Linked DNA regions of Callithrix jacchus. The protein of the gene in region 2 binds, or shares a complex with, the protein of the main gene of each other region. Links are inferred from orthologs where the notes say so. Each region holds a gene or a part of one and is shown on either strand. Other genes may lie near its edges.

Evidence for each region.
Region 1: LSM3 (region 2) and SNRNP40 share a complex: the UniProt entries of both Homo sapiens proteins name them as parts of the U4/U6-U5 tri-snRNP complex. The link is inferred for Callithrix jacchus from reciprocal best matches to the Homo sapiens genes LSM3 and SNRNP40.
Region 3: LSM3 (region 2) and LSM6 share a complex: the UniProt entries of both Homo sapiens proteins name them as parts of the precatalytic spliceosome. The link is inferred for Callithrix jacchus from reciprocal best matches to the Homo sapiens genes LSM3 and LSM6.

The regions. Positions count from the first base shown.
Region 1 is NC_133508.1:67,930,878-67,935,106, forward strand, and holds the start of SNRNP40 (U5 small nuclear ribonucleoprotein 40 kDa protein), read right to left. Parts: upstream 2,804-4,229; 5' UTR 2,774-2,803; coding exon 2,630-2,773; intron 1-2,629. Other genes in the region: ZCCHC17 (zinc finger CCHC domain-containing protein 17), read left to right, coding at 3,104-3,235. UniProt on the Homo sapiens protein: Required for pre-mRNA splicing as component of the activated spliceosome. Component of the U5 small nuclear ribonucleoprotein (snRNP) complex and the U4/U6-U5 tri-snRNP complex, building blocks of the spliceosome.
Region 2 is NC_133516.1:71,157,595-71,161,750, reverse strand, and holds the start of LSM3 (U6 snRNA-associated Sm-like protein LSm3), read right to left. Parts: upstream 2,803-4,156; 5' UTR 2,762-2,802; coding exon 2,741-2,761; intron 1-2,740. Other genes in the region: XPC (DNA repair protein complementing XP-C cells), read left to right, coding at 3,053-3,155. UniProt on the Homo sapiens protein: Plays a role in pre-mRNA splicing as component of the U4/U6-U5 tri-snRNP complex that is involved in spliceosome assembly, and as component of the precatalytic spliceosome (spliceosome B complex).
Region 3 is NC_133504.1:50,820,498-50,824,643, reverse strand, and holds the start of LSM6 (U6 snRNA-associated Sm-like protein LSm6), read left to right. Parts: upstream 1-1,343; 5' UTR 1,344-1,976; intron 1,977-4,146. UniProt on the Homo sapiens protein: Plays a role in pre-mRNA splicing as component of the U4/U6-U5 tri-snRNP complex that is involved in spliceosome assembly, and as component of the precatalytic spliceosome (spliceosome B complex).

The DNA of each region.
Region 1 (4,229 bases), on a different chromosome or scaffold from region 2:
CATGATCTCGGCTCATTGCAACTTCCACCTAATGGCTACGAGCAATTCTCCTGTCTCAGCCTCCCGAGTAGCTGGAATTACAGGTGCCTGCCACCACACTCAGATAATTTTTGTATTTTTAGTAAAGCTGGGGTTTCACCATGTTGGTCAGGCTGGTCTCGAACTCCTGACCTCAGGTGATCCGCCTGCCTCGGCCTCCCAAAGTGTTGGGATTACAGGCGTGAGTCACCACGCCCAGCCATATTCTTATTTTTACAAAATGCTATGTGCAGGCCGGGCATGATGGCTCATACCTGTAATCCCAGAACTTTGGGAGGCTGAGGCGGGCAGATCACCCGAGGTCAGGAGTTTGTGACCAACCTGAACAACATGGTGAAACCCCGACTCTACTAAAAATATAAAAGTTAGCTGGGTGGATCACCTGTGGTCAGGAGTGCGAGACCAGCCTGACCAACACGGTGAAAACCCATCTCTATTAAAAATACAAAAATTAGTCAGGTGTGGTGGCAGGGACCTCTGATCCCAGCCACTTGGGAGGCTGAGGCAGGAGAATCGATTGAACCTGGGAGGGAGAGGTTGCAGTGAGCCAAGATTGCGCCGTTCCACTCTGGCTTGGGCAACAAGAGCGAAACTCCACCTCAAATAAAAAAAGCAACAACAACAACAAAGGTTATGTTCTAGGCACTGGGCAAACAGCAACAAACAAAGGAAAGGGGTATATTGAAAATATCCTTTTCCAGTAGGAAAGGGGAAGAGTAGGAGGGAGGATGACAGAAAACAAGCAAAATATGTACTTGCTGTCATGTGCTATAGAAAATAAAAAGGATGGGCCGGGCATGGTGACTCATGCCTGCAATCCTAGCACTTTATGGGGCTGAGATGGGTGGATCATGAGGTCAGGAGTTCAAGACCAGCCTGGCCAAGATGGTAAAACCCCATCTCTACTAAAATACAAAATATTAGCCAGGTGTAGTGGTGGGCGCCTGTAATCCCATCTACTCGGGAAGCTGAGTCAAATATTGCTTGAAACCAGGAGGTGCAGGTTGCAGTGAGCTAAGATCATGTCGCTGCACTCCAGCCTGGGTGACAGAGTGACACTCTGTCTCAAAAAAAGAAAAAAAAAAAAAAAAGAAAGAAAGAAAGGATGGGCATGTTGGCTCATGCCTGTAATCCCAGCACTTTGGGAGGCCAAGGTGTGTGGATTGCGTGAAATCCTGTCTCTACCAAAAAAAAAAAAAAAAAAATTAGTAGTGTCTGTGGTCCCACCTACTCAGGATGCTGAGGCAGGAGAATCACTTGAGCCCTGGAGGCGGAGGTTGCACTAAGCAAGTGGGCATCAAATGGAGATTCTAAAAAAAATAAAATAAAATAAAGAGAGAAAGAAAGAAAGTAGCAATGTGGGTTCCAGAGTACAGGGTATTGCAATTTACAATAGGGTGGTCAGGAAAACCCTTACTGAAAAAGTTATATTTGGGCAAATATTCGAAGGAGCTTAGTAGAAGGAGATTGCTCTTCTTCCCTTGTAAACATTTGGGAAGAAGAGCTATCCCCGCAGAGGGAGCAGCAAATGCAAAGGACTGAGGCGAGGCTTGGAAGAGAGTGTAACTGGAGCCAGGTGGGCAATGAAAAACTGGTCAGAGAGGTAAAGGGAAAGAGGGCAAATGATTACAAGAATTTTGGTTTTTACTCTGGGTGAAGTAGAAAGCCACCAGGAAGTTTTCTGCAGAGGATAACGTGATCCGATACTTAGAAGGATTCATCTGGTTATTGGCTTGGTAACAGGTGCCGGTCCAAAGGCAGAAAGTAGACCAGTTAGGACCCTACTACAAAAATGCCAGTTGAGGTAACAATGGCTTAGGCCATGAGGCAGTGATGGAGATGGGAGAAGTAGCAATTCTAGATTTATTTTGAGGACGGTGCCAGCAGGATTTGTTGAGAACACGAGAAAGAAGACACTCATATTTCCTCATGTGAGCCTAAACAGGACACTGGAAGTGTGATCACGATTTCTATCTTATAAAATAGTTAGGAGCATGGTTTCTCAGTTCAAAATCTGTTTCTATCATGTACTTGGTAAGTTTGTTTTTCCATCTGCAAAATGGGTTAATAACCTTCCTAACAGGCTGCTACCAAGATTAATAGATATTTCACATGGGAAACACTTTAGTACAAGGGTCCAAGAATGTTAGCTGCTATTTAATTGTTAATAATACTAGCGCAGAAAAATAAAGGGAAAAGCAACCAACCCCAATCATTTCCCTTCTTTCCTCCCTCCCTCGTTCATTCTACAAACTTTTTTGAACGTTTGTTCTACGCTAGCTAGATCCATGTGAGTTAGGATGCTCAAACCCGGGCCCGGGTTTTGAGCCCAAGGTTCTAATTCAACTCTACTTCTAAAGCCACCTCACAGGGCAGTCGAGAGGCTGAAAACGAGCGCCAAACAGGGGAACATGTACGGAGTATCCGCAAACTATGGGGCGCTTAGTGTTTATGTGCTTTAACTTTAGGGGGAAACTCTCGTTCTGCCCCCGCAATGCGGGAAAGGGTCGGTGCAGGGCCACCAGACACAGCGCTTTGAAGGGAGAGGAAGATGAGCTGAGGGCCAAAGGCCGCCTGCTTCTTCACTTACCGCTTGCAGCAAAGCTCCCGGTGTCGTCTGCTGCTGCCCGGCTCCGGGGCCCGACCCCGTCGCTCCCAACAGCAACTCATGGCGCTGCCGCTTGACTGGGACCAGCGACAACTCCGGGCCCTTACGCTTCTGCTGTTCTATCATGGCGGAAACCGGTCTCTTCAGCGCCGCCACCGAACGCGCTACAGCCCTCAGGCGCCACGCAATTGGTTTCAACTTAGTCCTTCCTCCACAACTTCCAGCTTGAAGAACCAATCGGCTTTCAATATTCCCATTTGCACCGCCCTCCAGATAGTCTCTTGTTACTGGGCCTATCTTTCTGACGTCATGAGAGCGCGATTCCAGGATTGGTGAACGGAGCTGGCGACCTTCCTAGGCGCGCTGGGTGTTGTGGGTGGAAACACGCAGGTTGACTGGGTTAGGCGTTTACTTCAACGCCGCGATTTGGGGACCAGGAGCTGACGCCTAGTACGTATGAGGAAGAGCGGGGTGGGTGGCTGTCTGAGTCTGGAGGCAACGCCTCTGTTGTGCAGTCTGAACCTGCCCTTCTCAGCTGAGGGTGCTGATAGCGAGGGGTGGGAGGCGGGCCCCGAGTCCCCAGCTCTGGTAAGTAGTAGCCTGGGCTCCCTTTCCGGGCAGGAGCGGAGCCTTGGGGTCTCGGCGGCAGGACCGAGCCCCCGCGGCTCCCTTTTTCAAGAGCGCCCATCGTGGCCAGTCCTGTGCCGGGCATTCCCAGGGAGAAGGGCCTGTGTCCAGCCTCCACCGGTGCCCTATTTGGCCGAGGAGGCTGACTTGTTTCTGCCACTGATTTTGCAGTTTTTGGTTAGGGCCTACTCTATGCCCCGCTGAGAGAGACCGTGATGAAGGAAATGTCCGGCTCCTTCTCCAGACACAGTCTTGTTGAGAAATTTGACTCATGCCCGTGAACGTGGTCATTTCCTCAATCGTCCAGCTGATATTTATTGTGCAGCGCGTTGGGGATACGTTGTGAACCAGGCACGGTCCCTACTCTCAAGGCGTTTAAGTCTGGTGGGGAAAACGTTAAACAGTGACCTCACTAATACATGGAAGTGCCTCTAGTGCTGCCTGATGCAGGTTTTTCAGAGGAAAAGATGCCTGCGCTGGTAGCTGCAGGAAGAATTGGAATTAATTAGGTGAAGAGGCTAAGGCAGAACCTTCCATAGAGAACTACTTGTTCATTTTCCTCCCAAGCCCTGAGGCACTCGGGAGGAAAACGGCCTAAAGCACAAAGAACCAGTGTGGCCGGTACAAAGAGAATGAAGGGGAGTATGGCACAAGATGAAACTATGTGATAGCGGTCAGACCTTGCAGAAATTTGTAGCTTTTATTTTAAAACGGATGAGATACCACTGAGCCGTCTTCCCCCAGTGGGGTGTGGTGGAGGAGGGGGCTTGATTCCTCGGGCTCAGTGGTGTGAACAGATTGGGGTTGAGGAAGCCCTTGTGGCTGTATATAGACCACTTAGGATATGTAGTAATTCTTGTTAGAGATGTCAGTGAGGACTGAGACCTGGGTGGAACTGCAGAGAACTGGACAGATTCCAGAGGTATATAGGAGGTAAAACGGGTGGGACTTGGTG
Region 2 (4,156 bases):
CTAATACTGTTGTTGTGAGGCTTAAGTGATATCTATGACGGCTTAGAACAGTGCCTTTCATATAATATGTGCTACATAAATGTAGGTTAAAACACACATACACAAAAAGGAGTTACACAGCAAAATAATCATGACTATTCTTTGTTCCCTCAAAATCAAACTGCCTGACCCAATTTCAGGGTATGGGCTCTCAGGGACTTTAGCTTTATCTCAAATATTATGTAATCGTTGGAAAAACACTCACTCAATGTCTACCATACACTAGTCAGAATGCTAAGTAGAGGTGTAGGTTAATGGGAAGATTATGAATTTAGCACAGGTTGAGTTTAGGCTGCCAACTGGCCAGTAAGATGAATATATTTAGTAGACAGTATAAAACGCTGGTTGAAAGCACTGGCTTAGCCAGGCACAGTGGCACATGCCTGTGGTCCCAGCTATTCAGAGGCTGAGGGGGGAGGATGGCTTGAGCCTAGGAGTCGGAGGTTGCAGTGAGCCAAGATCGTGCTACTGCACTCCAGCTTTGGCAACAGAGTGAGACTCTGTCTTGAAAAAAGAAAGCACTGGTTTTGGAGTCAGGCAGTCTGGGTTCAACTCCTGGCTGTGACCTGACTCTAATGAACTAAGATTAAAAATCATGCCATCTGTAATTCTGATTCTTCATTTGTAATTGAGGAGGCCACAACCTTCCTTCTGGGTTCTTGAGAAGTTTAAAGTAGTTAATGTATTTACAACAGTGCCAGGTAAACAGAAAATAGTAATAAACGGTTCCTACTGGCTGGGCATGGTGGCTCACGCCTGAATCCCAGTACTTTGGGAGGCTGAGACAGGCGGATCACCTGAGGTCAGGAGTTGAGACCAGCCTGGCCAACATGGCGAAACCCCATCTCTACTAAAAACAGAAAAATTGGCCGGGAGCGGTGGCTCACGCCTGTAATCCCAGCACTTTGGGAGGCCGAGGCGGGTGGATCACGAGGTCAAGAGATTGAGACCATTCTGGTCAACATGGTGAAACCCCGTCTCTACTAAAAATACAAAAACTTACAGGCATGGTGGCGCGTGCCTGTATTCCCAGCTACTCGGGAGGCTGAGGCAGGAGAATTGCCTGATCCCAGGAGGCGGAGGTTGCGGTGAGCTGAGATCGCGCCATTGCACTCCAGCCTGGGTAACAAGAGCGAAACTCCGTCTCAAAAAAAAAAAAAAAAAAAAAAAAAAACCAGAAAAATTAGCCAGGCATGGTGGCACGCGCCTGTAGTCCCAACTACTCGGGAGGCTGAGATAGGAGAATCGCTTGAGGAGGTGGAAGTTGCTGTGAGCTGAGATCTATTGTGCCACTGCACTCCAGCCTGGATGACAGAGTGAGATTCTGTCCAAAAAAAAAAAAAAGGAAAAAGAAAAGAAATGGTTCCTATTAGTATTATTAAAGAACTGCTGGAAACGTCGGTTTTAGAGGTCAGGGCTAGGATGACTTGGGGTCGAATGGTTGCAGCCATTAAGAGAAAGACTATTCAAGTAGATCTTCATTAAGTACATGAGGCCAGTGGAGGAAGGTGACTGAATGCAACAGGCTCTAAAGCTTCAAAAGGTCAGATGAGAGAAAAAACAAAACCCTGACTCGACTGATCCCTACTTCCCTAGTTCAACAGGTGTTTGTTAAAGGATCAGATAACCAACTGTTAGATTATAACGATATAGAAGTCACAATCTCCACTCTCAAGGAGCTCATTGTAATGTGGAGAGGCATACAAATAAATAATTAAATACTGTCAAAATATGCACACGACAGAACCCTACTGCTACCTAAGCCTCTGTCTACGATGCCCACTGTAGCTTTAAATATTGACTTTTCAAAGAGGCCTCATTAAGTAAATATTTGTTGAGTGTTTCCAGCACTGTTCTAAACCCTAAGGACAGAAGAAAGAACAAAACAAAAAACCTGCTCTTATGGCACTTAAATTCTAGTGGGAAGGGTTATACATTAAAAACAGATGCATATATTTAATACGAAATAATAATGCGCTCTGAAGAAAAATGAAGCAGGGTAAGAAGAGTAAAGCGTGTGCTACTGGCGCAGGAGAAGTCCTCTCTGAGGAGGTGAGATTTCAGTAGAAAGCTTAAGAATTTGTGGCTTGATCTCCAAAGATATTTGAGGAAGAGAAAGACAAGGTGAAAAAGCTTCTAGGGCCATCTGTTATTCTGCAAACTAGTTCCTTGTTTCCTTCACATCACATCACAGTTCCTATGTCTCCTACATATTTATATTTACTTTTATCTGTTCTCCTCACGAATATAAGCTCCAAGTAATGGCAGGGATCACTTCTATGTCGATGTCAGTGTCCCTGGCCCTTAGAATAGTGTCTAACCATACAAAGCTGAATTTCACTAAATATGCTAAATGAATAAATAATGGTTGCGCTCAGTAATGATATGAACTTCTAACTTCATCATCAGGCTTTCTATTGGAATCCTAACAGCTCCGTGAGGCAGGCAAGGATAATAATTTACAGATTTAAAAAAATGAATTGAAGAGTGTGATGAATAGTAGTCAGGTGGGCTTCTAACCGGAAAAGATCTCAGGGCCTGCAGCAAAATTCGGAGCAGGGGGCGGTTACGGAAAGGACGGGGCGGATTGGACCATGGTGACCTGGAAGGAGGAGACACGACTGGCCATTTTTCCTAAGTTTGGGAAAACCAGCCCTAGTACGCGAAGCTGCTCGAAGCGACCCCCTTAAAGTACACTCACCTGGTCTACGTCGTCCGCCATGTTTCAAACCCTGCGCTCTTTCCCGCTTCTCGCGAGAACACAAGAGCAACGCGGATCTCCGGAAACAGGAGGATATAATACACCGGAAGTAGAGAGAAATCTGTTTTTCTCCTTCCTGCTTCCTGTGGTTTTTGGTGGCCACGGGTATCGCCGGAGCTTCCTTCGGGGGCGTGGCTAGGCCTCCAACTAAGGGACAGGGCTAGACGCGCCCGCCTGTGGGCGGAGCCCGCGCTCTGGTGCACAGCGGCCAGGTGCGTCACTCACGAAGTGGATTTTGCCCCGAAGAACAACATGGCTCGGAAGCGCGCGGCCGGCGGGGAGCCGCGGGGACGCCAACCGCGCAGCCAGAAGTCCAAGGGCAAGAGCAAGGCCCGGCGTGAGGAGGAGGAGGAGGGTGAGAGCGAGGCCCAGCGGGCTTAGCGGGAGACGCCGCAGCAGGGCGGAGGAGGCCGGGAGGCTGGGGTGGGAGGCCAGACGTGGAGACAGGATGCAGTTTACTGCGCGTCTTCCACGCCGCGGGGACGTGACGGCGGCCGCGGGAGCAGCTCGGCAGGCCGCGTCCGGCCCTCCGCTCTGTCCCTGTCCCTTTGTCCTCCGCACGCAGAGCGATTCCTCGGGAGCCTCGCCCGACCCAAGCTCATGCGTAGCGTTTTTCCGCTCCGGGTTGCCCAGAGGATACAGCGCAGATGCTCAGGGCTGAAAGTGGAGAAGGCAGTTATTTGGGTCCCAGGAAGGCAGACAGACGGACCAGGACGTAGAGTGATGCAGTGTGGTGACTCCCGAATGGTCACTTAAGCGGAGTCTCACCCGGAGTTCCACAGTGGGATCCCACCTGACTTCCCCACGTGAATATCGGATAGGCTTCTTATGTTTGTCACAGGCAAAGCGGAGCTCATGGTTTTCCCCTTTAAATCTATCCTTTCCTCCGTTTTTCCAGTCTCAGTACTTGTTATAAAGCAAAGCCTGCCTTTTTCTTATGTGCACACATCAGTCCATCAGCAAATCCAGTCAGTTCAGCCTCGGACTGTATCTTAAATTTGTCCACTTCATTTCCATGGCCATGGCCCCTGTCCAAGCCACCATCACCTTTCAGTTGAGTGACTGCAGTTTCCTCTTTATTGGCCTCCCAGTTCTCCATCCAGCAACCCAAATAATCTTTTTTTTCTTTTTTTAATCATGCCGTGTTCCTATTTTAAACTCTCCTTGGCTTCCCATTGCTCTTAGCTTAAAATCCAGTTGGCTTAACCTGGCCTGCAAGATGCTACATGTTTTGGCTCTTGCTACCTCTCCTGTTTCTCCTACCACTTGTTTCCTTGCCAGATACCCACCTTATTGGCCTCCTTTCTCTTCCTCAAATATGCCAAGTTATTTCTTGAGTCTTTTCCTTTGATGTTC
Region 3 (4,146 bases), on a different chromosome or scaffold from region 2:
TTTGGAGAAGATTGCAGCTGCTCCTCAGATGAACGAGGCCTTTAAACTCCTCATGGCTCCCTACCCACCACACCAGTGTTAATCGCTCCATCAGGGGTCTGTAGGAAAGGGAAAGAAATTTGAATCAAAAACTTACTGTTTTTTGAATAATTGAAACAACCAGTAGGGAGTGTGCAATTTGATGTCTTTTGCAAAGAATGTTTTTAGGGACAGGGCTTTTTATCCTATCATGTTTGTTCTTTGCAACTAATTATTTAATTTTAATGGCACTTTTCTTAAAATTTTTATTTACATTATATTTTATATTGCAAGAACTTCAAATACAGCCCTCTTAATAAGTCTGTAACGGTTTTGTCTTTACCCAAACTGAGCTTTTGTAGAAGGATATAAGGAAGTCTCTATTCTTTACCAAATCACATCCAGTTGCTTTCTGTCCCTGATACCAAGGGTTCATTTCTTCTGCCTTTAGCCAAAAGAGGGATACAAGGGAGAAACTCTTTATCTTAGAAAAACATTCTGCATCTTAGATTTTATAACACTTAATGGAGTTAAGGATCTGTGTTGGAAGATCTTATCACTTTGTGTATAGTGTTACAAATCATAAATAAAATAAAGTATAAGTTTTCAGCTGATGAAAGTATGTGACAGGGAAAAAGGAACCAAGTCCTGGTGTGACTGTTCTCTTCTTTTTCCTCTCCAATCCTATTAATAGCAAGAGTATTGAGAATTCATGCAAAATTCCAAACCAAGTTCCCACAGGTAGCACTTAGCTAATGTCTGCACACCATTTTCAATTGGAACTAGTTTATAATGTAACACAATTAACGTCATTATAATTCGGAGTTACTTGAGTGGTTTTAATTATTTTCGTATCAATTAACATTGCCATGGAAACAGTCTCTTGCTAAAATGGCTTAAGTCTTCACACATTTAATCAATATCCAGAGGCAGATTTAAAGACTTGAGGTGTTTGTTTTATTTATTTGTTTGCTTTAAACTATTCAAGGACGTTTCTGGGTACACACGGCAGTTACTTAAAACTGTAAATTCCAGTTTTCTATGACTTCAAGTTATTTTTTACACTGCAAATAAATCCTGCCCAAAAGATCACTTCTAGCTTTCTGGATTTTTGTTTTTGTTTTGTATTGAATTGTATTTGTGTTGTATCCGGATTTCTGTTAGAGGAATTCCTTTGCACCAATTTCGCCACTGGACAAACCAACCAGGATTCTTGGATTTGAGCGCTTTGGCGCGGACCGGCCTTTTCGGCCCCAGCGGGCTGCCGTAGCAGAGAAGAACACTGATTGGCTGAGGCAGAAAAGTACCGCTGCCTCGCCGGTTTCGGTTTCGATTCGATGAAGTCCGCGGAGCCCGGGCTCTTGGGGCACCTGTAGTGAGGATTTTGGATCCCGCCGACGAGGTGAGCCGCGTGGCTGCGCGAGCCGAGCAGCCTCGGAAACGGCCTGCGGGGAGCGGGCTGGGGCTCCGGGGAGGGACTGCTGGGTGGTGGGTCCCCGCGAAATGCCGCTTCCAAGCTCTGTGTGCACGTAATGGCCGGGAGTGATCTGTTGGTGGGCGCCTGGAACCGCCGTCAGCGAGGCGTCTACACTGCGCCGAGAGGAGCGGCACCGTCCCGGCTGGCGTCGATTTGGCGTTCGAGACTGCACGAAGTTGTTCGGAGGTTATCGAAATTCCCCAAGGGAACCCCAGCGCTAATCCCAGGATTCGGCGGGAAAGCGGATCCCGAATCTAGGCCTAGGCTTTGCCTGGATTCTTCCAGGCTTCAGAGAATTGCGAAGCCTACCCTACATCGGAGTGGCTGCGCCTAACCACAGGAATTAAGGACTGGACTAACCTGAATTACCGAGTTGTCTAGTCGGGGAACCCCTTGTATGGTCTTAAGTCCTATCGCCAGAGGTTTTCTATGTGTCCGCGTTTGTGCCCCGGCGCGTGAATAGCGGGCATTTTTGTTTAAGGTGTGTAGGATTAGGATGATTGGAATTACCCCACCCTACTGCTCTTAGTAATACGTGACTGTTGTAGAAAAATTGCAAACATAGAAGACTTTAGTGAAGAAAATAATATTCGCTGAACCCTTTCACCTGCCATCTTTTTCTCCTGTATGTACCAGCGTCTACTTGGACTAGGACTGTTCATGTTTAATTACTTAACAGTGTAGTTTTCCAGTTCCATTTAAAAACTCTTCCTAAATATTATTCTAATTTTGTATCTTCTTTTGAGTGGCTGGCCCATCATTGTGGATCCCAGTGTAGGTCCCATAAATTATTCAGTCATTTCCCGACTGTGGGACATTTGGTTGTTTTTGAATTTTTGCATCATCTTAGCATCCCAGATCATATTTTGATAAACATTTCCCCCCCATCCTGTAGATTATTTCCTTGGACTAGATTCTCAGAAGTGAAATTATCAGATAGATGCTGTCATCCATAAGGTCTTTAGGCTTTCATGCACATTGCTGCAGTGTTTTCCAAAAAAGTTTTAGAGGTGGTTGGCAGTTTTACTTGCTTGAATATTGTGCAGAAATCTTGAGAGGCTTATGTCTGTAGTGTGTATCACTGGAGTTAACTGCAGTAGACTGCCTGAATGTTAGAGCAGGAAGAGACCTAAGTGGTCATCTAGCAAAGCCCCCTTATTTTGCAGATGAGGAACCTGGGGCCATGAGAGGTGAGATGAGTTATCCAAGTCACACAGCCAATTAAGTAGCAGAGCTGGGATTAGAACTGAGGTTTCCTGCCTCCCAAGTGAGTACTCTGTGCTGCATCAGGCAGCCTCTCACTGAACTGTGGCATAGTAGATATTAGAATTTAAAAATATGTTTACATCACTTGGATTATTCTCTTTTTTAAAAGTGTACTAACAGATTTTAATCATCAGAGGGATCTTTAGTACTGAAAAATTGTAAAGTGATCATTTTCATGGCCAAGGCTAGAAATCCGTTATTTAGAATGGCAACCCCTTCAAGGCTTTGACAGTTGTTTTCAGATTCTCTATATGTTAGAATAAAAAAAAAATCCCTGATAAATTATAATCTACACTCCATCATTTGGTTAGATGTAGGTGTTGGTTCTCATTTGCTATATTTGGGAGATTTCTTTAAAACTCCTCACTTTAAGGCCAAAGAACAATGTTGCTGGTTTTTAAATTTTTTTTATTTTAGGGCTTATAGCAGAGATTCTCAACTTCCATGGACTTTTTGGCCTGGACGCATTTGTTGTGGAGGGCCGTCCTGTGCATTGTAAAATGTTTAGCAGCATCCCTGGTCTGTACTCACTAGTATAGTAGTAGCACCACCTTCCTCAGTCATGAGAGTTCATGGTGTCCCCAGATATTTCCAGCTGTCCCTGAGCATGGTGGGGGAGGACAGGGGGGATTGCCCCTAGTTGAGAACCATTTGCTTATAGAAATTATCTGGAGAACTTTATAATGTAATGTATAGTGCCTTTGCCTCAGTAGATTCAGGAATTTGCATTTTAACAAGCATCTCTAGATTTGGATACAGCTGGTTCTTGAATGACAGAAACAGTTGTTTTCTCCGTCTTTGGTGCTCATTATAGAGATTACTTGATTAGTATTTGTTGAAGTACACACTTGATATTACTAGTCACTGTACCCATAGTTTGGGCTGGTGGGGGCTGGACAGGAATTTTGCTTGACACTGGCTTTGAATGTCACTTCCACAGACTTGGACAGTATGCTTAGATACCAGGGTTACCAAGTGAGTGAGATATTTTCCCTGTCCCCAAGAAGCTTAAAATTCACTGTGGGAGATCAGTCAGCAAATGGAAACATTACAAAACGGCCTGATAAGGGCCACGACTGAGAGTGGAAAGAGGTGCTTTCAGTGGACTAACTTCGCCTTTGGAAGAGAGGGAGAGAAGAGGCCCCAGCTGCTCGGGAAGGAGGGATTGTCTTCAAAAGACAGCCCGGCTCTCCACTGTGTCAGAGGGAGGAATTTAGAGAGCTGTCCTCGGTGTCTGATTGCCTCGTCAGACACTGCTATCTTAGTATCACGCTGCAATTACTTGGGTTCTAATGTTGTTTCCTTGCAATTTTTGCTTTTCAATTTTTTCCACGCTAAACTGTTAAGTACTCTAGAGTAGGTAAAAACTTACAGGTAAACATTGC